Rhinolophus ferrumequinum: one gene and its partners. The protein of the gene in region 2 interacts with the protein of the main gene of each other region in a pairwise test. Links are inferred from orthologs where the notes say so. Each region holds a gene or a part of one and is shown on either strand. Other genes may lie near its edges. The genes, in order: PAK1, NCK2, LRRIQ3 and TRIM41.

Evidence for each region.
Region 1: the proteins of NCK2 (region 2) and PAK1 interact in binary tests that used the Homo sapiens proteins (3 or more experiments, as listed by UniProt). The link is inferred for Rhinolophus ferrumequinum from reciprocal best matches to the Homo sapiens genes NCK2 and PAK1.
Region 3: the proteins of NCK2 (region 2) and LRRIQ3 interact in binary tests that used the Homo sapiens proteins (3 or more experiments, as listed by UniProt). The two-hybrid records come from large-scale screens. The link is inferred for Rhinolophus ferrumequinum from reciprocal best matches to the Homo sapiens genes NCK2 and LRRIQ3.
Region 4: the proteins of NCK2 (region 2) and TRIM41 interact in binary tests that used the Homo sapiens proteins (3 or more experiments, as listed by UniProt). The two-hybrid records come from large-scale screens. The link is inferred for Rhinolophus ferrumequinum from reciprocal best matches to the Homo sapiens genes NCK2 and TRIM41.

Annotation. Positions count from the first base shown.
Region 1 is NC_046294.1:51,809,374-51,817,033, forward strand, and holds the start of PAK1 (serine/threonine-protein kinase PAK 1), read right to left. Parts: upstream 3,001-7,660; 5' UTR 2,504-3,000; intron 1,205-2,503; exon of another isoform or gene 1,093-1,204; intron 1-1,092. UniProt on the Homo sapiens protein: Protein kinase involved in intracellular signaling pathways downstream of integrins and receptor-type kinases that plays an important role in cytoskeleton dynamics, in cell adhesion, migration, proliferation, apoptosis, mitosis, and in vesicle-mediated transport processes.
Region 2 is NW_022680445.1:376,565-383,603, reverse strand, and holds the start of NCK2 (cytoplasmic protein NCK2), read right to left. Parts: upstream 3,014-7,039; 5' UTR 2,891-3,013; intron 1,811-2,890; exon of another isoform or gene 1,702-1,810; intron 1-1,701. UniProt on the Homo sapiens protein: Adapter protein which associates with tyrosine-phosphorylated growth factor receptors or their cellular substrates. Maintains low levels of EIF2S1 phosphorylation by promoting its dephosphorylation by PP1.
Region 3 is NC_046292.1:54,865,483-54,872,542, forward strand, and holds the start of LRRIQ3 (leucine-rich repeat and IQ domain-containing protein 3), read right to left. Parts: upstream 3,022-7,060; coding exon 2,773-3,021; intron 1,227-2,772; coding exon 903-1,226; intron 1-902.
Region 4 is NC_046307.1:4,183,882-4,190,761, reverse strand, and holds the start of TRIM41 (E3 ubiquitin-protein ligase TRIM41), read right to left. Parts: upstream 3,004-6,880; 5' UTR 2,723-3,003; coding exon 1,916-2,722; intron 1-1,915.

The DNA of each region.
Region 1 (7,660 bases), on a different chromosome or scaffold from region 2:
GAAGGGAGCTGGCAAGGAGCTGGTTTTATCAAAAGCAGATCTTTTAACCCGGCAGTTTTCAAACTTTAGCAAGTGTCAGAATCACCTGCAGGGCTTGTTAAAGCAGAGGTTTTAGGGCCCCAACCCCGAATTTTTCATTTGCAGTTCTAACAAATGTCCAGATTATGTTGATGTGGTTGGTGCAGAGCTCACACTTAGAGCTAATTGTTCTAACCCAAAGGATTGGCTATCCTCTATCTCATGGGCTTGCTTCTTCATTCAGACATTCATTCATTTCAAACACTTATGCAGTGCAAAGAACTTTGCTAGGCACTAAAACTAAACAGATCCTGCCCTCAAGAAATTCACAGGTTAACTAATGGAAAAGACAGGCACAAATCAAATAATTGCAGTGTAGTGCTGTAAGAGTGGTACGTGCAAGAGCCAAAGAATAAAAGAGCAACTCATCCTATGGAAGTCACAGGAAGAGAGACTAAGGGACTGCTTCTCAGAGGTCCAACAAGCACTTCTCCACAGAAAGGTAGGGAGTAAGGAGACCTGCATTCCAGGCAGAAAGAACAGAACAAGCAAAAGCAAGGATGAGAAAGAGTATGGCAGGGGAGTTATAGAAAAGTGAGGCTGCAAAGGTAGGCAGCCGTCTGATCTCTGAGAACTTCTTATTCTGTTTAAGAGTTTGAAAATGTATCTTTAGGACTAGTTGAGGTAGGGAGAAATGATGTGATGGGTTTTGATTTACAGAGATCTCTCTGGATACAGACCACTCTCCTTTCAGAAAGCACTGCTTCCTCCAAGCTTAGCACAGGGCCTCAGAACATATGCTTGGTACATGCGTATTAAATTGAATTGAACAAGCTTTTACCAAGTGCTGTCTTATGGATGAGAGGCAGGTCACCACCTTCCCTTTGGACTCACTTTGGCCAGGACCAAAAGACTGGTAAAACAGGTCTAGCAGCCGCAATTATTGCACACTACTCCCTGGATAGCTGGAGTCCCCAGAGATTAGGGCAGGCTTCCATTGTTTACATGTCTACCTCACCCACTAGACTTTGAGCTCTTTGAAGACAGGGAATGTCTTAATAGACTCTGAATCCCCATAGCCCTAGAAAACCTGAAACCCAGCAGCTCTCCACACTCCAGTAATATTGGGTAAATGAAAGACTGGATCAGCAAATTTACCAGACAGACCCATGAGCTCATCATACAGGTAAGGGTACGAATAAGCTTCAGGGAATGTTTCAGGGTCCATGTTCCCAAAACCCTTTTTGAGTCGAATTTCTAGTTGAGATGAGGTGTATTTCATATGCACCTGAGGATTTCCCAAACAGGAACAAGAAAAAGTTACAAGCGCTGTGGTAACTCCTACAGGCCTCTGATGGCCCCAGTGAGAAGTCAGATTTGCCTGATTAGAGTTTGGGGGTGTTTGCTAGCAACGATTTCGCAGTGGGGCGAAGAGAGAGGAAATCTTCAGTGGAGTCTTGAAAGCTGAGTAAGTGCTTGATACCTGCCTGTTTCTAGGGCATAAAAGCAAACCCCTGGAACTTTAAGGCTGGAAGTGACCTGCTCAAGGTCACACAGGAAGTAGGTAAAGTCACAAGGTAAGACCAGTGAGGCATCTGGGTACTGTTGCCTCCTGCTTTCCCCTGACAAAGTTGAGAGCGCCCAAAGACAGTAAGCAAACTAAAGATTTTTCTCTGGAACAATTCTTAAAGGCTAGACTAATGAATTCGAATTTTTATTGATAACCATAGTACCACCTTTCACAGTTCCGGGGGTGGGGGTGGGGAACGTACGACAGTTACCCAAAGGGTTTCACAAACAACAAGCACTTTGCTCCCAACATCCAAAACTTCTCAAGCATTCTTCCAAAAACATTCCCACCAATGTTGGCTGAGAAAATATTCAAGGCGGTAAAGGTTGCAACAATCATGTCTTTTGAAAGGGAATAATGAACATAACAATAGCTCTATCCTTTCCCTGTTTTTAACTCCACAAGTTAGAGTATTCCCGCGGTGGGGGAGGGACTGCAGAAGTCAGGCTCTATCCTATAGTATTTTTCAAGAAGTGGGACCCTACAGGTGATTCCTCCCTCCCGGACAGGGGTGCTTTTTCCAAGCAGAACGAATCGGACGCCGCTTTGCTTAGGCTTCCCCAGCGCCGGCCACGGTTAGCGCAGGAGGACCGCTAAGTTCAGCACGGAGTCGCTCCCACACGGGGATCTGGGGAGTCTCCCGGCCTCGCCCCAGCCTCTGTCCTCTCCCGGGTCCCTGGGGTCTCCTGGGTCCCCCAGCGTGAGACCCGCAGCCGCGAGGATGAGTGCACACGGAGCCTTTGTTGCTCGGACAGGAACGGCCAACCTCGCGGGTCGACGCCCCCGCTCGTCTCACCTGGCGCCCCCGCCCGCCCCACCCCGCCTCGCGAATGAATGGGGCCCAGGCCCCCGCACCCCGCACCCCAGCCTGGCAGCCTGAGACGCCAGCGGTACCCGCAGGCGGCCGGCTCTCACCTTCCGCGCTCGCCCGGCTCGACTGGGCTCCTCCTCCTCCTCCACCCGGGTGGCAGCGGCCGAGCCCGGGAGTGAGCGCGCGAGTGTGCGCGACGGGCCGCTGCACTTTCTCCCTCCCGCCGCCGCCGCGGCGCGCTCGGCGCCTCCCCCACCCCGCTTGGGCTGGGGCCGGGGAGTCCCCTCAGGACGAGGGGGTGGGGTGTCAGCGACGGGGAAGGGGGAAGGGAAGGAGCCAGGCGACGCGGGGAAGGGGGTGCGGTGGGGGGCGGGGACGTGAGAGGGCGCGGGCAGCCTCCCGGGGAGGAGGTGGGGCGAAGACAGTTCTTCGAGGGGCTCTCGGCAGAGTGGGGCTCCGTGAAAGAGGGGATGAGAGTCTAAGGGAAAGCGTCCGTGGGGTAAGACCGCAGAGCCGGCGAGGGAGGGAGGCGGCGGGGAGGGAGCGAGCGAGCGAGGGAAGCCGTGAGGGTCGTCTACTGCCTGCTGGCACCGTGGGCTCCAGCTGCAGCCGCACGCCCGCCCGCAGCCGCTCTATTGTACGCCGCGGGGCCTGGCGGGACCGCCTCTCCCACCGGCCCCGGCCCCGGCCCCCGCCCCCTTCGCGGCGAGGCAGCGGCGCTGGCAGAGCCCGCCCGCCCCGCCTCCCGCAGGTGGGAGGGGGCGGGGAGGCCAGGGCAGACCCACGTGAGTGCTGCCAACCCAAGCGTAGGGGAAGGCGAGCTTCTGGGATGACGTCATCGGCGCATGACGCCAGAGACTGGGGAATCACCCGGAGGCCGCATGACGTCATTGCACCAGCGGCTCGTCTCAGGTCCGGCGGTCTACAGCTGCAGGCTCCTTTGGCATGGCCTTTCTCCTGGAAGATTTTGGGACGCTTTCTGGGGGCGTTAATGGTGTAGGAAAAGTCCCAAAAGATGGCTAACCCCCTGGTCTTGTGGTCCTCTTCAGGTTACAAAGCACCACCGCATGTGCTAGATCATTACCAAGAGAGATATTTGAAAACCACCCCATCTCCTATGACCTCAGAGCCAAACATTTATTATACTATTTGGAGTGGAGAGGAGATAAAGAAATACTGTGCTAATGGAGGTTTGAACTATCTTGTACTGAGATTTAAAAAATGGGCTTCCTTTCTCGGTTTTCTCCGACCCTGGAGGATACATTCATCCCAAACCTTTCCCCTGAGCTCAGATTCTGTGTTTCCCCACGCTTCCTGGCAGTGTCATTTACACTTCATGTACCTCAAATTCCACATGTCCAAAACGGAAACCTTAGTGACTAAGCGTCTGGAATCAGATTGTCCTGCTTCAAGTCCCAGCTGTACAAATGTCAGGGATAGGACTTTAACATTTCTAAGTCACAATTTCTCCATAATAAGTACTACCTGTGTACCTAAATTTGATCTCTCCAAGCCTCAGTTTTACAATAATAATAATAACTACAATTTAGCACACATGAAACCGTTTGGAATGTTGACCATACCTCTTACCAATTTCACCCAAAGGTGCAACTAATGTTACTTCCTGCTCTCGGTGAATGGACCATCATCCAGCAGTCCCAGAAACCTGGACATAACCCTATTCTTCCTCTCTCGAGACCCTTATCAAATTAGTCACCAAATCCTGTAGAGTATCGTAAATATTTCTCAAGGCCTTGCCCTTCTCTTCACTCACTACCATGACCTAGACGACTAGAGCAGCTTTCAGTCTCTCCAAATTCAATCCATTCTTACTGGGGACCAGAGTAGCCTTTTAAAACCACAAACTGATGATGGCCACTCCTGTTTAAACGCTCTGGAAGCCTTTCGTACCATTCAACCTTGGGACTTACAGCAGCCTGTCTAGCTTCATCTCACACCATAAATCTGTTCCAACCACACCAAAATGCTATTTAATGTTCTTTGAACATACATTTCTTCATGGCTCTGAGCCCTTCTCTCTTTATCTCACTGGCCAATACCTATTCACTCTACAAAGCCCAGTGTGAACGTAAGAAATGTCCAAACCTATAGAGAATTTTTGTGAGTTTATTTGAGCCGAACTGACAATGGCCAGGAAGCAAAATCTCAACAGACTGAGAAAATGCTCTAGAGAATAGCAATGTTGGAGCTTATTTTATACTTTAGAATCAAAGGAGGAGACATAAGGAGGGTTACATGAAATCCATCGGTGGTAGATTACGGGGGCAGGAAAAAGCAAAGCGGGGAAATCTCTGGGATTGGATAAAAAGTAAAATGGAGAGAGATGCTTCTTTTACATTGGTGGGTCCAGGAGAGTAAATACTTAATATTTACAGCATGTAAAGATGGTATTGGGGAACAGGATAACAATGAGGGGTTCTGTGGTCTCCTGCTTTGGTGTGGTGGGTGTGCCCTGGGGCGTCTGGAAAGGGGGATTACTCTGACATTTCAAAGATATGTTATTTTAGATGCCAAAAAGACAACAGACAGGCTCACTTAAGGTAAAGATTGACCTTTGTCAAGGAAGCTACAGGCCAATGACGTGACTACCCACCATAACTAGCTTTTAGTCGGGAATTTTTTATGTTCAGATCATCCTATGTGGTCTCTTTGGGTCTCTGAGTTTGTAAGGCTGGCGGTGCAGTCCTCCCGAGCTCGTCAGGTTTAGTATGTGGCCCCTTGTTCATCCACACCAGCTCAAATGTCATGTTCATTTATTCATTCAACTGATAGTTCTTAAGTTTCCCTGAGCCTTCACACTGCTGTAATCCTATAGTACTTCCATGCCTTTCATGGCGTGTAGCACACTGTGTAGTAACTGTATTTGTCTATCCGACCCCCTGAGCTCCTTGAGATCGTCATATTTCTATCCATTCTATCCATATCCCCAGTATCTAGAACAGTGCCTGACACATAGTAAGAATCAATAAAATGTTATAAAAACGTATTAAATAAATGCTAACCTAGCACTTGCCATGTGCCAGATACTGTTCTAAGCACTATCTCCTGTACACCTCTAATAAGCCTTTGAGATAGACTACTGTTTCCCCCTCATTTTATTGATGAGGAAACTGAGGCACAGAGGAGTTAACCCAAGATCATAACCCAGTAAATTAATCCTAAACAAAATTGCTTTTGCATGGTCTCTGTGGTAGGCAGAATAATGTCTCCCTAAAAAGGTTCACATCCTGATAATCCCCAGAACCTATATGTTACCTTCCCTGACAAAAGGGACTATGCAGGTGTGATTAAATTCAGGGTCTTGAGATGGGGAGGTCATTCTGGATTATCCAGGTAAATTCAGTGTAATCACAAGGATTCTTAAAAGTGGAATAGGGAGGCGGAAGAGTGAGGAAGAGGTAGGTTAGACTACAGAAGAGGTCAGATCGAGTTATGACTGAATGTGAGAAGCACTCCACCCACGCTTTGAAGCCAGAGGAAGGGAGCTACCAGCTAAGGCATAAAAACCACTCCAAAAGCTAGAAAAGGTAAGAAGACAGATCCTTTTTTGGAGCCTCCAGAAAGAAACAGAGCCCTGCGGACACCTTGATTTTAGCCCAGTGACACCCATTTCAGACTTCCGAACCACAGAACTGTGAGGTAATGATTGTGTGTCTGACTGAAATAGGAGGATGTGACCACTGAACACCCAGCAGGTAGGGAAGGAATGGGGATGAGTAGGTAGGGAAGGAATAGATCCGAGGGTCTAACTTTTGTGTAGGGAATGAAAGCCATCCCCACCCCCACGCACATATCCACATACTCCCTCGAAAAGCAGCCTGAACCACAGAAAAATAAAAATAATGAATGCCTTGTTTTAAGCCACCTTACTTGTGGCAGTTTGTTACTGCAGCAATAAGAAGCGAGTACAGTCTCTAGTCAAGGGTGACAGCTCTGTGCTAACAAGGGGGAGCAGCTACTTGCTAAAGGTACCGGGTTCTCAGCTGCATCCACCCAAATGTCTCCATCCCAGGCCTCACGGTGCCACTCCCTACCTATGGAAACCCCGACTTTAGCATACGGGAACAGTCAAAGGATCTCGGCCCTATTACATTCTGGGCCTGATTTGCAGCATGATCTGCTCTCCGGCTGTGGGAGAAGAAGGTTTTTTAGAAATCTTCCGTGAAAGTCTTCTGGATTTCATCCCATGTCCTAAAGTGATAGGTGGATAACCTGCGCCTGAAAATCACTTTCTTCAAGGCTTTTAAAATAGTTAACAAAATCCAGTCAATTCCGTGAAATTATAATTAACATTACCGCCATATCATTCAAGTGCTGGAGCGCGAATTCTCAATGGGGGTGATACCTCCCCGCAAGGAAGTGAAACTTGTTCTGAGGTGGGCAAAACTACATCTTAGATATTACAATGGTTTGTGGGATATTTTCTTAAAAGTGTATTATCTTTGTATTATGATAATTGACCTATAACACTATTAGCTTTAGGTGTACATGATTTGATATACATGTATGTAGATATATATTGTGAAAGTTTAGTTTACATCTATCACCACATAGTTTAGTTAACATCCATCATCACATATAGTTACAAGTTTTTTTCCTTGTGATGAGAACTTTTACGATCTACTTCCTTTTCAACTTTCAAATATACAAAACAGTATTAACTATATAGTCACCATGCTGTACATTACATCCCCAGGACCTTATTTATCTTATAACTGGAAGTTTGTACCTTTTGATCACCTTCACGTCTTTGCCCCTCCGCCTTCCCACCTGGGATACTTTAAGTTTAATTTTTCTCTTTAAGAGAGCACTATTAAAAAACAAAACAGGTTGGAATCTCTGTGCTAGAGCTACTACCTAGTCTAAGTACTCCTTCCACTTGTACCTGTTCTACCACAGCTGAAGGCTTCGTTATGATAGCACAGCATATCAGGGGCCAGCACTGCTCAATTATCATCAACAATAGATCCTTGTTGCCATCTGATCAGTGAGTGATTCCGTTCCAGAATCTCATCCTGGTACCAACTACCTAAGTTTAGGTTTCCCAAAAAGCAGAACCTGAGATAAATGTGCGTACTTGGGTGCAGGTAGTTTATTTGGGAGGTGATCCTAGGTAACCGTAATGAGACGAGGGAAAGGGAAAGCCAATGTAGAGTGTGTCACTGAGGGTCTCACTTCTGCGGGAACCTCAGAGAAGTGTACAGAATGCCTCCCGGAAGAGATTACCTGCAAACTGAGAG
Region 2 (7,039 bases):
CGTTCAAAGAGAAATGCAGAAAAAAACATCTAATTTTTTTAAATTGTGTTACCATAGTGGCCTAAAGAAATAGAAAAACTATTTTTACTTTAACTGCATACTTGTGATAACCCATTAAAAGGATGTGTTGACCTCCTTCTAAGTCGCCTTAGTTCGAGCATTTAACAACACACGACATGGTATCATTTTTAGCTGAGGCCCTTTGAAAACATGCCATGAAGGGTTTCCATCACTCATTTTAGTAAAGGAAACAATTTGGAAACCCCATCTGCAGTCCCTCCAGATGGGAAAACTAATTTCCCAAGCCTCTGGGGTGAGTTGTGGGGAGTTTCCAGTTAATTTATGAAAAAAAAAAAAAAAAAAAATTGTTAGCTTACTAGTTTTCCCAAACATTGTCCACTGCCCTCCCGTGCAGTTCCAGCAAGCAAGCAATCTTCAGCTTTTCAGTCAGTCAGCCTTATTTTTAAAGTCAGAGAATTGTGTCCACAAGCCCTCTCTCCCCAAGCGTATGCTGCAAGCCAGTTGGGGCAGTTAGAAGCGTGTGTGTCCCAGAAAGCGACACAGCCTCATCTTGCCAGGGCAAATTAAGCAATGCAAATGATCAAGTAAAGGATTCAGGCCATTTGGGCAATCGGGGAGTCTTTAGGGTACTTTAAAAGGTTATCCAGTTTGTGTACATACAAGGAAGTCTTCTGGTATATTTAATGTGGATGACAGGGCATTTCTCAAATACTGTGTACATAAGACCTGCTGCTTGCAGCAAAACCTCCATAACCCCCCCAACGCAAATGACAGAGGTTGGAAATGTGGCAGGCTCCAAGAGATCAGAGATAAAGAGGCTTTAAGCATGTTGCACGTAATAAAGCAGAACTCAAAGCCTGAAAACTGGGCACAGCTACTTGAAATGCACCTTTAACCAGCTCCGCCCATTTAAAAAGGGCCAGTTTCTCCACAAGTGGGCACAGGGGGTGATAGAGTAGTCAATTCTTCTGATGGCAATTTGCCACACTCAATTTTCTCTTTGTTCCATGATCAGTCCCGGTAAGTGTTTATGCCCAACCTGAGAAGCTCAGAGTCCAGGTGAAGCCTCCAGGAGAGGAAGCTGAGTCTAGCTCCTCCAGAAGCTTACCACAGTTTGAAGCTCTTAATTTCAGCCTCAAGAGATGCAGCCAGAAGACCACTAAGATCCGACTGCTTTCTTCAAACAAGACTACATCTAACCGACCTCGAGGAGAGAAATATTAAGGTAGGATTTTCCCTTGTGGTCACTGCTTCACTATCATGGTTAACACCCATTCTCGGGAAATCCCTGTTCCAAACACTAAAACAGCATCCCCGGCGGCCCCATCTCTGGGCTAAGTCATTTCTACTCTGTATCTCCACTGACTGCCATTCTCTTTATGTTACCACATGTGCTTGAATCCTGTTACTAATTTACCGGTTCACCTAGGAGCACTAGGTAAGTGAGTTAAGGGAGTGTTCAGAAGCAAAGTTTACATCTGCTCTGATAAGTTAAAGCAGCCCAGGTCAATTTCAATTTTCAGTTATTTTAAGACTTGAGAAGCACTGTTGCTAATGACATCAGACATCAAATGCCATGCAATGAAACACACCCTGAATTACTCTCATTCCGACCAAAATCCCTTCTGAGAAGAGGGGAGAAGCCAAGGCTGCGCCTGGACCAGGAAAGGCCTCCCCTACCTGTGCGCCCCGGTAAGCCACGCCCACGGGCCTCTCTGGCTTCAGTTTCCTTTTGGGTCAACGGAAGGAGTGGGCCTACGCGAAGGTTTAGGCTCCTGGGTCCCAGCCCTGGGGCCTGCTCACCCCATCGTGCAGACAGACACAAACTTGGCAGATTCAGCCTTAAACCTGTTGGCAAAATAAACAAAGCTAAATAAAGGGGGAAACTGCCAACCTGAACTGTCTGAAGCCACAAGGGCCGACTCCACACACGTTCGCGCTTTGTCCCTGAAACTGTTACAATGCTAGTTAACAGTGGGTTCTAGTTAAAGTTAGGTGCCTGATGTTCATTAGCCAATGACCCCTGGCATCTCGTGCAACCTTTCAAGGCGATCGTTATTGTCTACAAATTAAGCGTTTTGCAAGCTAAACCCCTCCACACAACGACATGCTACCAACGCTCACACAGGAGTTTACCGTCAATGCCTTAAAAGTCACACACGAAATTCTCCCAGAACCACTTGGTGGTTAAATCGCCCTGAATAAACCGAGAGGGCAGAGCGTGGTGAGAAACTTTGTTTCAGGTGGCTGTAAGAGTCCTGTAAATCTGGGGCAGGACGCACAGGCTGAGACCCGGCACAAAGCGCCCTTCGCCCAGGCGAGGACCTCCTTTATGCGATGTGACAGCAGCTTTGTGCGGGATCATAAATAGTTCCAATAAACACAGTAAGTTCTCCCCGCCGCGCTCCGCCTCCCGCGTCCCGGCGCAGAGGCCAGGCAATCAGCGGCTATTCTTCCCCGGGACTCCCGCCCCGGCCACCCCGGCCACCACACAGTCCCACGCCGGCCCCCGGTTCCGGGCCCGTCGCCGGCCCGCAGGCCGGGCGCTCCTCGCGCGCCAGAGGGTCTCCAGTCCCGGGAACCCACCGCCCAGGCCCCTGCCCCCGCCCGCGCCCTTGGCGCCCCCACCCCAGTGCCGGCGTCCGGAGGATGGGAGCCGGCAGGGGGAAGGTGCGGAGTCCGGCGCTGCCGGCAGTGCGGGACCACCGGGCCAGGCCGCGGCGGGGCCGAGGGCACCGGTGGGGCGCGGAGGGGACCGGTCCCCCGGCCCCTTCCCGGGCGCGCCCTGACCCGCGAGCCCGCTGCGCTCCAACTCTGCGGAGCCGCCCAAGTTTGCGGCCCCCGCCCCGAGGCCGCCGGCCGCGCTTACCTTGCCGCCAGCCGCCCGCCGAGGCCGGAGGGCAGCGGCGCGGGTCCCGGGGCGGCGGCCGCGCCCGCCCAGGCGCCGCTCTTTGTCTGCGCCGCTCCCTCCTCCCGCCGCTCGGCGGACGCTGCCGGCCCGGCCGGACCCCGCCGGCCCGGGCCCCGCGAGCCTCCCGCCGCCAAGCCTCCCCGCCGCCCGCCGCTCGCTGGGCCGCGCGGCTCCGGCCTGACGATCCCCGCGGCGGCGGCGGCGGCGGCGGCGGCGGCGGTGGCGACGACCCCTCCCCCGGCGCGCGGCGCCCGCCCCTCCGCGCTCCTCCCCTCCTCCCGCCGCTCCTCCCAGCCGCGCGGTGACACCGCCCAAGGGCCGGCCTCGCCCGCGCACAGGCGGGAGCCAGACCCACCTGGGGACGCGCGGGCAGCTTGTGGGCCCGCGCGCGGCCGGACTGAGAACGGCACCGGGACAGGACCGCGCTCGGGGACGCATAGCGCGCGGGGCGCGTGGCCGGCTGGCTACCAGGAGACCTTTGGACGCACCGCGGGGTGGGGGCCGAGGAAAGGAAAGGGTCCCTTCTCCTAAAACGGCTCGCTCGGGGGTGGGGGCAGAAGTGGGGTGAGGGAACAAGAGAGGAAATAAAGGCAGCAACTTCCAGCCTCCGATGACCAGTGGGTGGTCTTTCCATCCTCTTTTTGTTTGTTTGATTTTCTTATCACGATGCCCCCCTCCCGGAAGCATTCCCACGCCTCTCTACGCAAAGCAGTCCTGTTGTCCATCAGAAAAGTGACTTCCATAAAAATGTCACTTCCTCTCTGTAATTGCTTGTGGGCATTTTTATTTATTTGCCTTGTATCTATTTACTTTCCCAACCAGACACTTTTTTACTCCATCATTTGTGTCGGAAGCACTTCTGAAGAGGAGAGGAAACTCAATCTCTGCTGCCTCCCTTCCAGTGTCTGGCTCAAGCATACCCATGGGTCAGATTCCTGTAAGGAGCTGAGGGAATGTGGGCTCCAAAAGGTAGTGGGACTGGTCGGGTCACCTGGCCACACGTAGTGGATTACCTATACACAAACGTGGGAGATTCAACCCAAGAGGAAGGGAACAGACACAAGGTTCCCTTTCACAGGCACATGCATCCAGATGTCTGTTCCCCCAATCTCCTTCCCATATGGCTTCCCAAAAGGAAACACTACTATTCAAATAACTCTGATTTCCTGGCAGAGTAGCCAGGATCCATACTAATGAGATTCTTTCTTAGGCTCCTGGCTTCTCATTATTATTAAGGCAATACCAATTTACCCAAGGTGGCATCACAGTATCATTTGAATCCCTCATCCCCTGCCTTGTGCCCAAAAGGAAGTACCAGAAGAGGGTAAGTAGAGCCAGTATGACTTTGAAGTCACCGTTTAGTGTTTGACTATCTGCTTCTTCAACTGTGGAACCTTGCACAAGTGTTTCTTAACCTATCTAAAATCTACTAAATGGGGAGATAACACTGGCCTTGCTCCCATGTAAGTCCCTGGCACACTCCCTGGCAGCAGGGCGCATTCCACTGGCCACTAGAGAGAAGGAGGTGCATTGTGAGCAGGGATGGGCCCAAGATCAGGGAACAGGGACAACCTCCTTCTCCGTTTGACCTTGGGAAAGAAGCTGCCTCAGTTCATCCTTTTGGGAAAACCTTTCTCATGCTGATAAGGAAAACAGAAGGATATCAGTGGTCTGACCCAATTTTAAATTAGTTTACTCAAAATAAGTATAACAACATTGACCCAGTTTTTAACTTGTCTCCTTTGTAAACTTTCATTGAATCATGGGTCTTGAACTCCTCTTCCTTTTCTGATTCTTTGTGAAGTCACCAAAGACATTCTCTATCTAAACCCCTATGCCCCTTTCTCAATCTTTATCCTATGAAGTTTTCTGAAGCACAGGGCATTTGTGCTATTTCCTAAAACTTGGTTATCTTTCCATTTATCTACCTTTCTGACCCACCCAGCTCTGTCCAGTTACAAGACATGTTTTCCTCCCAACCTCTAACAGTAATACCCCAAAGCAGACTTTGGCCCTTTGTTTTTATTCTGATGTACGCCTTCTTTTTAAAAGAGAGTTGATCATTTTTTGTATGCTTCCAGTCTGGATGTCTCCGGCTCCCAGGTCTGTTGCCAGCTTATCTACAGCCCGTCTGCGTGGCTCATCATCTCTTCAAGCTCATCACACTCAGAATGAAACACATCTCCTTCCCAAACTAGCTCCTCCTTCCACGGTCTCCGGCTTGGCCAAGAATCCACCAGGCTTCTCAGCTCCCAGGTGAAACCTCATTTCCATTCTCTTCTTCCGTCCCTCTCTCCAAGCACTCCCCAAGGTCAGTGAGGAGAGGGCTCTAGCTGACCTTGGGATCTCTCTCAATCTCAATTCTTATGGTTCCGAGTCCTGGTGATTCTTAAACATCTCTTTGCATCTTTCTTCCCATCTCCAATGTCACCTCCTAATTTTTACATGATTACTAACAATACTTACAATCTGTTTTGAATACATATATCAGCTCTAACTCACACACAATAAATAGTATTATCCTCACTTTACACATGAAAAAAACTGAAACGGTAAGTGAAGGAGCTGGAATTAGAACTGCACGTACTCCAGAACTCCTGTTCTTTCCACTACACCCACTACCTTCCACCTGGTCTCCTATCAGTCACTTCCTCCCTTCCCCCACATTTATACTGGATGTCAATGTCATCCTAAAAATTGCTTCTATCTTGCCCCTCCACTGTTCAAGAACTTCCCATGGCTCCCTATTGCCCACCTAGTTTCTCAAAAGTTTCCTGACAGCACAGGGCTTGAGCTTGTGCTCCGAGGAAGGCCGAGGAATTGAGCGCCAGGAGGCCTGTGTTCTTTACCTGGGGCTGCTTTAACAAATTACCTCCAACTGGGTGGCTTAAAAAAGAGAAATGTATTCCCTAGGAGTTCTAGAGACCAGAGTCTGAAATCACACTCTCTCTGCAGGCTCCAGGGGAGGATCCTTCCTTGCCTTTTTCAGCTTCTGGTGGCGCCAGGTGTTCCTTGGCTCATGGCAACATCCCTCCAATCTCTGCCTCTGTCTTCATCTGTCCTGGTCCCCTGTGTGTCCTCTCACCCCTTCTGTCTTCCTATAAGGACACTTATCATTGGATGTAGGGCCCACTCAAACCCAGGATGATCTCATCTCCAGACTCTTCCTTGTAACGTCGACAAAGACCCTTTTTCCAAATAAGGTTGAATTCACATGTTCCAGGTGAGCACATCTTTTGGGGCCACCATTCAACCCACTACAAGACCAGCATGGGTAGACATTTCTTTGAAGATGATGTTTGATCTGAAAATGTGTATGTTTATGCATCCTCTTCCCTTACTATGCCCATGTTTGTTTTACTAGTAAAATGTCTCCAATAATGAAGTATTGAAAGTACAAAAAATATAAACCTTTCCCCCCAAGTCACATCCGCGTTAAATCCTGAGATTTATCTCCCAGGGCTTCTCAAACTTAGTCCTTCTATAACCATCTCTTGGTTTACCCTGCCCCAATATAAGTTACTTGCTTGGGTCACTGTGCAACCCCTACTGTATGTGCCCCACTTGGTCACACTGATTTCCTCCTCCAACTGTGCAGACACAGCAAGGGATTCCCTGTGCCCCTCTCTTCCTTCAGTTCCATTCAAGCCGCCCTCACCTCTCCTTGGACTCACGGGAAGCCCAAGGTGAGGCTGAAGGCACTGTGTCAGCCATTCTTGAGAGGCCCGCAGCCTACATGTATGCGAATCTGGATCACTTAACCTCTCTGGGCCTGGGATAGCGAAGTACAGAGTTGTGAGGATTAAATGAGACAATGTAAACATGTCTCGACTGCGTGTTTAACACATGGTAAACACTCCCATCAGCTGTTTCCTGGCCTTCGATCTTAACCCTCAATTCAATTGAACATATTGAGTATATTTCTATTTGTAAAGCATAAGAATCAATTCAGGAGAAACAAAGATAACCTGAGTTGTAATCTCAGAGGAAGGATAAGACTAGTATATAAATGAGTACAATATAAAGCTAAATATGAAAAGTACCAAACAGAACATGTTCGGAGAAGCAGAAGTAGCTTTAGGTTTTAAGTGGTGGCGTTAGAAATGG
Region 3 (7,060 bases), on a different chromosome or scaffold from region 2:
CTTAGAAAACAATTCAGTTTTTTAACAAGTTAAACATAAACTTAACATACATCCCAGCAACTGCATTCCTGAGAATCTACCCAAGAAAAACAAAAGCTTATGTATATTCATAAAGACATGTAAGTAGGTGTTCATAGCAGCATTATTCATAATAGCAAAAACTGAAATTAATCCAAATGTTCATCAATTGGTGAATGGACAAAGAAGATACAGTATATTCCATGTAATAAAATATTACTCAGCAATCATAAAGAACAAACTACTGATTCATGCTACAACATGAGTGAGCCTCAAACACATCACACTAACTGAAAGAAGGCAGATGCAAAAGACTACATATTGTATAATTCCTTTATATACAATGTTTAGAAATGCAAATTTATAGAGACAGAAAACAGATCAATGGTTATCTAGGACTGGGGTTGGGAGTGGGGATTAACTGCAAATGGGAATGAGAGAAACTTTTGGAGTGGTGGAAATTTCTAACATTGGATTTTGGAGTTGGTTATGCAGTACTGTTAATTTACTAAAATAATTGAATCATACATGTAAAATGGGGGAATTTACAGTATGTAAGCTATATATCCTTAAAGCTATTAAAACATAATGGAGACCAAATATGTATATGAATATATATATATCTGTGTGTGTGTGTGTGTGTGTGTGTATATATATATATTTCTTTACAATTTGACATTTTTCTGCTCAACAATTTTCATGCAGTAAACATACAAACATTTTAAAATTTCAGACATAACACATTACTAATGTATTCACTACTATATGGTATCTTACATAACTGATGCAAAATACTAGTTTTATATAATTTAGGCATAATCCTGAGAAGCTAAAAATGTATTTCTATAAATTTACTTAAAACAATCCCTAATGAAAGCATGTACCTTTTTCAAAGCAGGGGAGAAATTAAAGAAAAGCCGTTGGTTATACATTTTGAATCTTTCAGGAAGATGCCAGTTCTGAATTATTTCTTCATCAGAAATCACATGATGGTCCAGCGCTTTGAGAGTCCATATACTATTGACGAGAACATGTCTATATCCTTTTATAAGACTTACTGGACAATCAAACATAGTGAGAGCAATGAGGCTTTGACAGGCAGATAACATACATACATTCTTTAACTTTGCAAAACCATTGTCATGAAGATAGAGAAGTTTTAGGTTCTTCAATCCACTCCAAAATTTGGTATCTGGTAGAATCTTTACCTGAAATATTATGAATAATAATACTTTAAATACAAATATAAAATTCCTATAAATTGCATGGAAACTAAAATATATTAAACATCTTCTAAAATTCAGTATTTTCCCAAGTGACAAATTTCTTATCAATAAATAAAAACAGAATTTCTAATTATCCAAATGATGACTGGTGTAAAAACATAATACACTGGACATCTGGAATAAGCTATCATTATTAGTGTAATTAAATGAGTAAACATATACTTTGTTCAGTAAAAATTCCTTTGTAATAGGCTGCCTCTCTGAAGTTTTCTAAAATACTTTCCTTATATAAAGAATTAAAAAATCAAATTGAACAATGTGATGCAACACATTGGTGAAATACCTGTACGCTGAAAACTACAAGACATTATTAAAGAAACTGAAGCAAACACAAATAAATGAAAATATATTCCATGACCATGGATTGTGACAATTGAGAGTGTTAAAATGCCTATACTATCCAAAGCATTCTATAGTTCAGTGCAACCCCTATGAAAAATTTCTATGGCTTTTTTTGTTTTACAGAAATAGAAGAAACAATCCTAAAATTTGTATAAATCTACAAAAGACCCTGAATAGCCAAAGCAATGTTGAGAGAGAACAAAGCTGGAGGCATCACGCTCCCTGATTTCAAATTATATTACAAAGCTATAGTAATGAAACAGTATGTTATTGGCATAAAAACAGACACATAGTTCCATGAAACAAAATAAAGAGCCCAGCAAAAATGCACACATATATGATCAATTGATTTACAACAAAGGATCCAAGAATATACAATGGGAAAAGGACATTCTCTTTAATAAATGATGCTGGGAAAACTGGACAGACCCAGGCCAAAGAATGAAACTATCTTTTGTAATATACAAAAATTAACTCAAAAAGGATTAAAGACTTGAAAGTAAGACCTGCAACCATAAAAATCCTAGAAGAAAATATAGGCAGTGAGCTCCTTAACATTGGTCACGGTGTTTTATTTTTGAGTCTGACGCCGAGAGCAAAGGCAATAAAAAGCAAAACTAAACAAGTGGGACCACATAAAAATAAAAAGCTTCTGCATAGCAAAAGAAAACCACCACTGAAATGAAAGGGCAACTGACCAAATGAAAGAAAATACTGTAACTACAGAACTGATTTGTAACTATGTGGTGACAAATGTTAAGTAGAATACTGGGGTGTTCATTTCACAATATGCACAAATATCGCATCATTACATTATATACTTGAAATTAAAATGATGTTATATGTCAGTTATAGGTCATCAAAACAGAACTCAGGAGTCAAGAAGTATTCCTAATCTAGACTATGGATTTAAGAAGTAAAATAAAACAAATCACACACTTTTAATTTAAAAGTTTGCTTATATTTTAAATGTTGTATTTATACATTTCATATTTTTATTTATGTTTAAATGTTTGTTCATATTATATAAAAGATTATATGGGAGAAATATTGTGGATAGATAACATAAATGCTTATTAAATATAATTTAATTTATATGCAAATATCTGAAATGGCTGGTGCTTACCTGATTTCCATGGAGATCAAGTTTGACTAATTTTATACAATTTTGAAGTGCATGAATATCCGTAATAAAATTGTTTGAGAAGATGCATACTCTAAGAGAGATACAAAATTGCAAATTTTCCATAGATTTTAAATGAAGACCACTGAATTTCACAAAAACAAAATCTTTCTGATCTTCTATAATGTTTGCATTATAGTGACTCCATTCTTCATGACTGGTTAGCTCTTTTGTGATGGTTCCATGAAACATCTAGAAAAAAATGGTAGACTGCTATCAAAAGCTTTTTCAACTTCCCAAACTAATTCTATATGTAAATAAAAATGTTTGCTAATAGATAGTAAGAATAAAAATGGGTAGAAAAGTTATTTAAAAAAAAACCACGAATTCCCATAAAACCTCTATCCCAAAGCATCTTAAATGACTACTAAGACTTACATCTCAAAATGTATCATTGCCCTCACCAATAAACTAATCAGTAAATGAAAAACCTCCTTTTTCCTAGAATACTTTGAGGATGGAATTCAATGAAAGAGCTGCACTATAAACATCGCCTCTTGGCAAGACAACTGAAAAAAAAAACACAAAGAAAACTATACCTTAGCATACTTTGTATAATAATTTTGCTTAAAAAATACTGCTGAACAAAGAAATGCATTGAATGATGAATTCCCAAGACAGGAAAAGGGAATCTTTTGTGGGAGAGGCTAAAAAATGCAGCTAAATGAAATGAAGGTGGAATACAGGGCTTCAACTGTTATATTTATTTCTTGAAGAGATAATTTGCAATCACATTATATTTATGTTCAATTCAATTAGGCAATTAAGATCTAGAATTCTAATAGCTTCAAAACTTGACTGATTAAGTTTGTCTAAAACTTTTGGATCAGAGCTGTTTTACATAATTTTATATAGTATTTGTCGTATATATATGAAATTTCTCTTACTGTGGTTAATTTCAGCTTTCATAAAAGCCAGTCACCCAGTGATAGTTTAAAATAGAATATATAAGCTCCAGTGGCCTATCTGAGTGCGTTTGGTAAGATTAACCATCTTCCCCATTTCTATTTCTACCATATGGGGGAAATAAGAATTAATGTGAAAATCCAGATAAACCCTTGCACTCTTTCAAAAGACTGGGTACTTTTTATGTCCTGGCCAAGGCCTACAACTATAATCCTCAAACTCTAAATATCACCTAAGAAATGAATCAACAGGCACATTTCCTGGTCCCCATATCATATCTATGTCATCAGAGTCTCTGGGCTGCTGGCCAAGGAATTTGTAATTTTGCATGCCTCTAGGACTCAGGGGTGTCCAAACTTTTTTCAACGTTTTTCACCAAGGGCCATATGCAGTAAAATACACAAACAGCCGGGCCATTCACTCGAGGTGAAGTATGTATTGCCTCACCTGGTTTATTTAAGTAAACTAAATATATTTTTGGAATTTGCTGCAGGCCAATAAAAAATGGATTGCGGGCGCAATTGGCCCACGGGCCGCAGTTCGGACACTCCTGCAATCCATGGACACGTTGAGAAAGGCTAGCCTAAACTGTTAGTAAACCAATCTTCCAAATATAAAGAACCAGATATGGAATAAATAGATATGAATAAACCTTTACAAACTCATCAAGCTCTGTAGCTACTGAAATGAAGGACAATGTCTAAATGCATCCATCATTTGGACTCCTTATTTAGAAAAGCTCTTAAGAAGTCTTTCTTCAGGCTCTCCTTTGAAACACCTACTTTTCCAAAGTGACCTAAATGTAGGGTAACTCCAGTTTATAACAAGGACTTACGAAAGACCATATCTAAGGCACAAGAAAAAATGATTCAAGACGGACAATGCTGTGATCAGAAGTTTTAGCTATAGAATCCAATTTTTAAAGTCAAAAACAATTCTGCGAGAAATCTGCAAAGTGACAGTCATATATAAAACAAATGTGTTTTTTTCTATTCCTTTTTTATAGTCAAGTGATTTTTTTTCTTTAATCAATAGATACTGTTTTAGATTTACAGACAAATTAAGAGGAAAGTACAGAGTTCACATATATTCCCTCGTACCCCATTTCACAGTTTCCCCCATCAACATATTGCGTTAGTGTGATACAATTGTTACAAGTGATCCAATCTTAATGCATTATCAGTAACAAAAGTTAAATTATTTAGCTCATAAACTCAAAACAAAACCTTTGAATGACCAACACACATCAACGTAGAACAGCGGAGATCCCATTTCTTCATATAAAGCTGAAGCTGACTATGTATTTCACACTTCATTGGTACATAAATACATATCAAAAAACAAATAAACAAACAAGAAAACACAACAAAAATGAACTCATAGATACAAAAAAATAGATTGGTGGTTACCAGAGGAAGGGGTGGGTAGCAGGCAAAATGAATGAAGAGATTCAAAAGGTACAAATACCCAGATATAAAATAAGTAAATCATGGGTATGTAATGTACAGCATGGTGATTATAGTTAATAATACTGTTCTGCATATTTGAAAGTTTTTAAGAGTAGATCTTAAAAGTTCTCCTCACAAGAAAAAACAATTTTGTAACTATGTGTGGTGACAAATGTTAGCTAGATGTTTTGTGGTGATCATTTTGCAATATATACAACTACTGAATCATTATGTTGTATACCTGAAATTAATATGTCAGTTATACCACAGTATAAATGTAAAATAAAAGAAATGATGGATATGAAAAAAGGTAATGCTAACAGACATTCATTAAGTATTGTATATAATAACAAAAACAAGATTCATCCTAAACGTGTTCAAAAGTAGTTTTAACTAAATAAAATATCGCAACACAGTCAATGGATTACTCTTAATGCCTTAAAACTGATATCACAGAGCACAGTAACACGAAAAAGTACTGATAAACAACCAAGTTATTGTTTTTGTTTTAAAACATTTTTCACTGCATTGACACTTGAAAAGGGTGACTTTTATGGTATGTGAATAATTTTTTTTTTAATTAAAGGTTATTGGGGTGACAATTGTTAGTAAAGTTACATAGATTTCAGGTGTATAATTCTGTATTACATCATCTATAAATCACATTGTGTGTTCACCACCCAGAGTCAGTTCTTCCATCACCATATATTTGATCCCCTTTACCCTGATCTCCCACCCCCTATCCCCCTTACCCTCTGGTAACCACTAAACTATTGTCTGTGTCTGAGTTTTTGTTTCTCATTTGTTTGTCTTGTTCCTTTGTTGTTTTTGGTTTTTATACCACACATCAGTGAAATCATATGGTTCTCTGCTTTTTCTGTCTGACTTATTTCGCTTAGCATTATAATCTCAAGATTATCCATGTTGTCACAAATGGTCCTATTTCACCTTTTCTTACCACCGAATAGTATTCCATTGCATGTATATACCACAACTTCTTTATCCATTCATCTATTGAAGGACATTTTGGTTGTTTCCATGTCTTGGCCATCGTAAATAAAGCTGCAGTGAACACTGGAGCACACTTGTCTTTATGGATAAATGTTTTCAGTTTTTTGGGGTAGACACATAGGAGAGGGATTGCTGGGTCATATGGTAATTCTATTCTTAATTTTTTTGAGGAACCTCCACACTGCCTTCCATAGAGGCTGCACCAGTCTGCATTCCCACCCACAGTGTATGAGGGTTCCTTTTTCTCCATAGCCTCTCCAACACTTGTTACTATTTGTCTTGTTGATGATAGCCATTCTGACTGGGGTGAAGTGATATCTCATTGTGGTTTTATTTGTATTTCTCTGATGACTAGTGATGTTAAGCATTTTTTCATATGTCTATTTGCCATTCGTATGTCCTCTTTGGAGAAATGTCTCTTCAGGTCCTCTGCCCATTTTTCAATTGGGTTGTTTGTTTTTCTGTTGTTGAGTTTCATGAGTTCCTTGTATATTTTGGATATTAGCCCCTTATCGGAGGCACTGTTTGCAAAAATCTTCTCCCATTCAGTTGGTTGCCTCTTTATTTTTCGATGGTTTCTTTTGCTTTGCAGAAGCTTTTAAGTTTCATATAATCCCATTCAGTTATTTTAGCTTTTACTTCCCTTGCCTTTGGAGTCAAATTCATAAAACGATCTTTCAACCCAAGGTCCATAAGTTTAGTACCTATGTTTTCTTCTATGCAGTTTATTGTTTCAGGTCTTATGCTTAAGTCTTTGATCCATTTTGAATTAATTTTGGTACATGGTGACAGATAGCAGTCCAGTTTCATTCTTTTGCATGTGGCTTTCCAATTCTGCCAGCACTATTTATTGAAGAGGCTGTCTT
Region 4 (6,880 bases), on a different chromosome or scaffold from region 2:
TGCCAAGCTGGTGTTAGTTAATGTACGTACAATGTACGTATCTGAAAGGAATAAAGTATCTGACTGTAAAATAGCCTATAAGTTAGAAAGAGAATCACTCAAATTAGTTCTATATAATAAAGCTTATGTATTTACATTTGCTGATCAGTCAGTGTCGGATTATTTGTGTCTATGTGACCTCCGATTGGACTGGCATTCAACAGATGTGGCTAACACAAATTAAAATCCCGTTTCAGAAGCTCTTTGAAAGAGTCCCGTTGGGGGAGCGTGAAGGAGTGGGATGCCCATGGATACTCCACCCTGGGATCGAGTTAACAAAGTGACTGCACATTGTTTAATGGGTACAGTTAACTAGGAACTGAGAGGATATTAAAGGGAAGGGCAAAAGGAGCTCATAATCTCCCCTAATAATGAAGGGCAATATTTCCAATGCACTGAGTCCCATACTAGGCTGGGCTTTCTAAAGATATTCTCTCCATCACTGATTCAGAATCTCTAGTGGTAGGGTCTACTGTAGTTTTGAAAACCTCCATGAGTAATTCAGACAATCAGCGGAGTTTGACAATCATTGTCTAGTCAATTTGTCACGAGGGGATGTAGATGTCTTAGCTATAGCACTTATTCGATAGATCAGAGGCTCTAGGCGTGTTTCTCTAAAATCGGGGTAATGATAATACCTAAATGAGGTTATTGTAGGAATCAGGAGAAGGTATGAAAACCCAAGTATGAAAACAGAAGTTACAAAACAAAAAAGCTCTACACCAACCACAAGGAAGCTACTCTCTCCTGTTCCTGGTCCCACTACTTCGCTAAGCATTGCTATTAGAGCTGGCTGTCTCAGGGCCAGATCTCCTTTATCTATGTCCAAAAAAGTCAGGATCAGAAGTAGGGGGCAAGATATTAACCAAAGTAGAATCTGTCTCCAAGAAGTTACACGTCAAAAAAGTCAAACTAACAGACATCTAAAGAGTGGTGTCGTTAACAGTATTGGAGGTGTCATAACAGTGTGTGAGGGGGGTGTCATAACTAGTAGGTGTGCGGCCTGTGTATATTACTTAAATCTCTCTCTACTTCCCGGTCTGTGAAATGGGAATAGAAACCATATCAAACTCACAGGATTGCTCTTTCTTTTAAATAAGATAGTCTATGAAAAGTGCTTAGTACAATGCCTGAGGTACACAGTATATTTCAGTAAATACTAACTTTTAATCATGGACAAATTAAAGTTCAAAGACATTCAGGGACTTGCCCAAGTGAATAGGTGCAGAGCCAGAACTTATGATTTAAAAGTCTCTCCCTTTTTTCTCAATTCCCAGGAAGGTCAGAAGTTCTGGCCAGCACATCTGAATGACACAGATCCAACAAAAGTCCTCAGGGAGTGAACCAAGCCACATTACAAGGTAGGGAACCCAAAAGTAGGCAAATGCAGAGCATTTGGGTCTACACTAGGAGTCATTACTACGCTCCTGCTCCTCAGAGCCCTTTCTTGTTCTTTGAGATCCCAAGTTCTTCCCATCTCTAGGGTCTCAGTCAAAGGCTTAAGATTCACCAAAAGGAAAATGAGACCAGTGGTAAAGCCCTAAGGGCCTGTCACCTGCACTCCTACACTTAGGGACATTGGGACGTGTGAAACAGCAGTGGCTTTCCCCCAGGAGAAACACAGTCCAGTGACATGGCATTGCCAGCTTTGCACAATTTCCTTTGAGAAAGCCAATCTTTCCTGGTCTTCTCTGTGTCTGCTTTGTCTGTGTACAGGATCCTTCTCACTCTAACCCACGTTGGTGCCAATAAGTGCTTAGATAAGGAGAATCAGCTCACTAGAACATGATGCTCTTTGGAGGGAGACATTTCCTTTTCCCAGCTCCTCTTCCTTCCTCTCCTCCCCCACAAAATTCCCATCTTCTAGTTCTCTCACCTTGTACTCCTGCACCACCTCCTCCAGTGGCACCACGCTGTGCTGTTTGTGGCTCCTGGATTCTCGGCACACCACACAGATGGCCTCTTCGTCCACCTCGCAGAAGAGCTTCAGGGCTTCTTGGTGTTTGGGACAAACGCCCTGCTCATTCCCACGGCTCCCCCGACTAGGGGCTGGGTGCATCTGCCGAATCACCTGAACCATGTTGGCCAGCTGCAGGTTGGGGCGGAAGCTCCGCCTGGGAAAGCTCTTCCGGCACTGGGGGCAGGTGAAGCACCTCCGAGGGGCCGGAGGCGGAGGCAGCGGCGTGGTGGGGTCTAGATCCTCTTCGTCGTCCTCCTCCAGCACTTCTTCCTCGTCCTCCTCGTCCTCCCCCCTCAGGTCCTCCTCCATGTCCAAGTAGTAGTCCAGGTCTTCCTCCTCGTCTTCCTCCTCCCACACGTAGTCCATGTTGTCCCAGTTGGATTCGCCCATGCCACCGGTCCAGAATACATCCTCCTCTTCCTCCTCGACCTCTTCCTCCAAGTCGCCCTCATAGTCTTCATCCCTCATGGGGGTGTCCCACCCCCCACCGGCCCCCACAGCCTCCACTTCCTCTTCTTCGCCGTCCTCCTCCTCCTCCTCCTCCCGGTCTAACTCGTCCCTGTCCTCATCCTCCCCTCCCCATAACTGGGTTACACACACTCGGCAGAAGTTGTGCCCGCACCCGATGGACACGGGGTCCGTGAAGTAATCCAGGCAGATGGCGCACACCGCCTCCTCCTGAAGGGTCTGCACAGGGTTGGGTGCCATGGCAACGGCAGCCATCTTAGTCTCCAGTCAGCTAGTGTAGGTGGTTGGTGGGGGTAGGGGCGGGGGCTCTTCCCTCAGACGCCCTGGCGACCCGGCCCCACCCCCAGCCCTGCCTCTTCACACCTTGCCTTAAGCGCAGCCTGAGAAATGTCCTCCCGACAACCCACCCCTCCACGGTTTCCCACTCCCAGACGACAATCGTGTCTCTGCCAGGGGAGGGGACAGAGCTGAGCGCTACCGCCAAGTCCCTCAGGTGGCCCTGAGTGCAAATCTGCCCCAACGCTCTCTTGGCCTCCTCATAAACCCCCGCCCCTCCTCACTTCCTGGCTCCGCCCCTTTACTTCCGGCCTCCTTCCCAACACTTCCGGCGCCTACGAATTACGCAAGCTCCCGCCTTCCCTCCACGGTCGCGCTAACGCCCCCTTTCCGCCCCGGGCCCACGAACGACAGGAAACGGCGAGGAGACGCTCTAGCACACACTCGGGAACAGGACAGGAGGGCTAGAATGATAATGGCCCACTTCTCTGTGGTGCGGGTCAGCGGGGAACGCAGATGAAACAGAAGGACCAGCCCCCCCCGTCCCCCACCACCGGGGATAAACTTTGGGAGACAGTGGAAGCCCTTGCGATCGTCCGCTCTCGGTGCTATGACCGCATCGGCCCGGCGCCATCCTACCGCCCGGACCCGGACCACTGCAGCAGGGATTCCCCACAGCCGATGCCGGAAGCGGAGGGGCGGGTCCGGGTGAGCACCGTAAAGTATTTCCGGCCCTTCTAGGCGGAGGACTTTGTTGTTTGAGGACTCGGAACGTCCCTCGGAGACGATCGGGGGAGGGGCCTGAAGAAGTGTGGTGGAGTGGGACCGGAGATCCTCCCCTTCCTCCGCACTGTAGTTGACATTTCCACACCTATTTCAGGAACTGCCGTCCGGTCAGTGTCTCATTATTTAGAAGAACTTTCCTAACTGCACATCAGTAAAGGGATACTGACAAGTTATTGCATGCACATTCACAGTGGAACACGCTTTAGCTGTAAAAAGGAATCCTTTTCAAGCTGTGTTATTAAGTGAAAAAAGCACGGTACTGAACAGTGTGTTGAGTATACTACCATCTGTTTAAAGAGAATGAGAGGATGTTAAGTGTATTTGATGTTTCTGTAATCCTGAGTTTACTCATATAAAATAAGGGTAATAGTTCCTATCTCAGAAGGTTTTGTGAAATTAGAGTTAATATTATGCAAAGCGATCAGAATGTTGCTTAGCACATAGATAGAAGGTTCAGCTACCCATTATGATCGTCGCGGTCATCTGTCTCCGGCAGAATACTATACCGTAGGAGCAGAGGGTCCCTGGGAAGGCTGAGGGTCCGTGATAGAAAGGACACTTTTTCGTATATGATATTCTATATCTTTTGAATTTTGAACCAAATCAGCGTTACTTAAAGGAAAAAAAAAACTTTCTAAATGCCATAATTCAACACTTCTAGAGTTGTGTACTACGCCTGCTCCGCGAAGAAAATACCTCGAGATCTGTTTTCTTGGGTTCCCTAAGAGTAGGGGCTCAGACTTTGTTTGTGGTATTAAATTTACTTGAGAGAATCGTATCCGGGATGTAGATAGAAGTTTATTAGTAAAGACTTGTGCGATAGAAATAATACTTAATGCTTTTTAAAAATATGTCCTTTCATTTAAAAAAAAAAAACTGGCGGGGGAAGTTATAGGGTCGTAATTCTTGTTCAGAATCCCCAGTGAGTGCTGGCGCTGTGTGATGCCAGGGCTGGGCACACAGAATTTGCCCCCTGCCTCGTGGGGAAACTCCAAGTGGACCTGTGCTTTCTAGGGGTGTGGTGCCAAAACTTCGTGGGTGAACTATAGTAGACTATTCCAGGAGCTGCGGCGAAGTGCGGCACAGTTCAGCGGGCCAGCGCAAGGAGCCCACAGTCCCGCTGCAACAGGGTTCGGTCAGCCTCGCCATTCCGAACTATGTGTAGATTCAGGGTGGTGTCGGTCAAGCTCTAGGAGCAACGGTTTCCGTAGTGTAGTGGTTATCACGTTCGCCTCACACGCGAAAGGTCCCCGGTTCGAAACCGGGCGGAAACAAGCTTTTTGGTCTAGTTTTCAGTTCTTTGGTCACTTCCTCATCCCACCATCCGGTGAAGTGGTCCTCACAAGGAGGGAAGGGCGTGTGTGTCTCGGTATCTGTTTCCGGGAATCAGATGGAGAAGCGGGAGGGCAGCAGAGCCGCGCTCACAGCAGACCCTTCATAAGTATTGGCAATGTAAACGCAGTCTTGAACCGCAGCTAATCTTTTGATCTTCCCCTCAAATTCCTCTCGGCCATCTTTCCCACCTCGATGGGCCTAGTGAGTAGGACAAAGCAGGCGCACAGCGGGCGCTCCGTAATACTTGTACAGTCAGTCGTTTCTTAAAGTGTGCCCACATTACTGTATATGAATCTTTGTCTCAGACAGAATAGAAGGATTCAGAGAGTTGCCCGGCTAGCTCAGTCGGTAGAGCATGAGACTCTTAATCTCAGGGTCGTGGGTTCGAGCCCCACGTTGGGCGGTGGTCATTTTGAGAAATGAACTTTTGATACAAAGGCATCTCCTGTGCTCTTCCTTCCTTTGGTTAAGGAAGGTGTCAGAGCTAGACAGGTGATTGCCAATAGCTGAACTATAGTACCCCTTGTTGGAATGCACCCAGCCCTAGGGCAGGAATGAGGGGAACAAATTCCTGCCATTGCACTTGCTAAAATCCACCTACTACTGCCCACTGATGAGGCGTCTTCTGTTTACCTGATGACCCTCCCGGGTGTCCCGACGAGTTGCACTGGACACGTAGCTTCCCAAAGCTGTGATGGGACTGCAAATCCATCCTGAACGTTCGTGAGCGTCCAAACCGTAGCTCTGATATGGTAGCACCTTAGTGTAGGTAGAAGTCAGGATTCTGCGCTCTCACCGCCACCGCCTGATTCTGATGTTGGGTAAAGAAAGAAGTGTCTTTTGGTGTGCGACCCTCATCTTCAGTGTGTTTTCTTTATGCTCGATTTTTAAGCCGTCGATCTTTTGCAAAATGTTGCCCCACACATTCCAGCCTTTGCATTCCCCCCACACATAAAGGATGTAACAGGAACATCCTCAGTTTACCGATCTTGTCATGAAATTTTCCCTTAACTTCAGTTGAAATTCATTCCTCTTATTGATTGTTTCTTTAGTCCTAAAAATTCAGCCCATTTTCTATTTTCCAGCTGGAGAATTCTCCCCACATACACAGCAGACCCTAAGAGAATTCTGCTGATCATATAAAGCTGGTTTATTAACCTTGCTAAGCTAGCATTGCCTTCAGTCTCAGAAGTGTGTCGAAGCAAGGGAGTTCTGAGAAATTGGTCAGAGTCTGTAAAATAGACAGAATTGCTAATTCAGTCCTGGCTCATGTGTCTCTGGGGAGTTACTGTCGTCAAGGTCTTATCTTGGACCATATGGGTCTAAACAAGCTGGTGTTGGAAGAGTGTGAACTTTGACATTTCGTCTTGCACAAATGCTTGTGGATTTGTTTGCAAATTGTGGTTTCAGGGTTTGTTTGTTTTTTTCCCCCCACCATCGTGACTGGGAAACATTGCCAAAAAAGTGCTGCTTTCTCATTAAAGGGAAAACAAAGTGGACAGACTTCTCTTCCCTTTCTCCCAACAAACTGAGGGCTCCCGGGAGCTTTTTGCTACAATTCCTGCTTTTCTCTCCTCCACAGATGCCACCGCAGCCTCGCCCGCCAGGCTCTCGGTTTGAAATCCCCCTCCGAGTAAGTGACCTACACTGCTCTTGGCATAGAGGAGTCAATGTCATCAGTTCAGATGTTCAGCAAAAGCATGGGACCCTGGTAAGATCTTTGGTCTCTATCAAGAGTGGTAATGAAAGGCCGCAGAAGCAAAGGGACTCGCTCTCATTTCTATTTTAGAGAGATCCTTCAGAAATGATGAGCAGGAGGTGTGAGGGAAGGGAGGCTGTGTCAGGGAGAGGGGCTGGAAGGGCAGATGTAGTCCAGACAAAAGGTGGCTGGTGCAGGGGTGAGGCAGCAGCCGGTGAAGGAGCTGGATGCATGGTTCGTACCCTCACCAGGAGAGGGGCTCCCAGGTTTCTGCTTTAGATGAGAGGAGAAAGAAGTAAATAGTAAATGGAAAATTC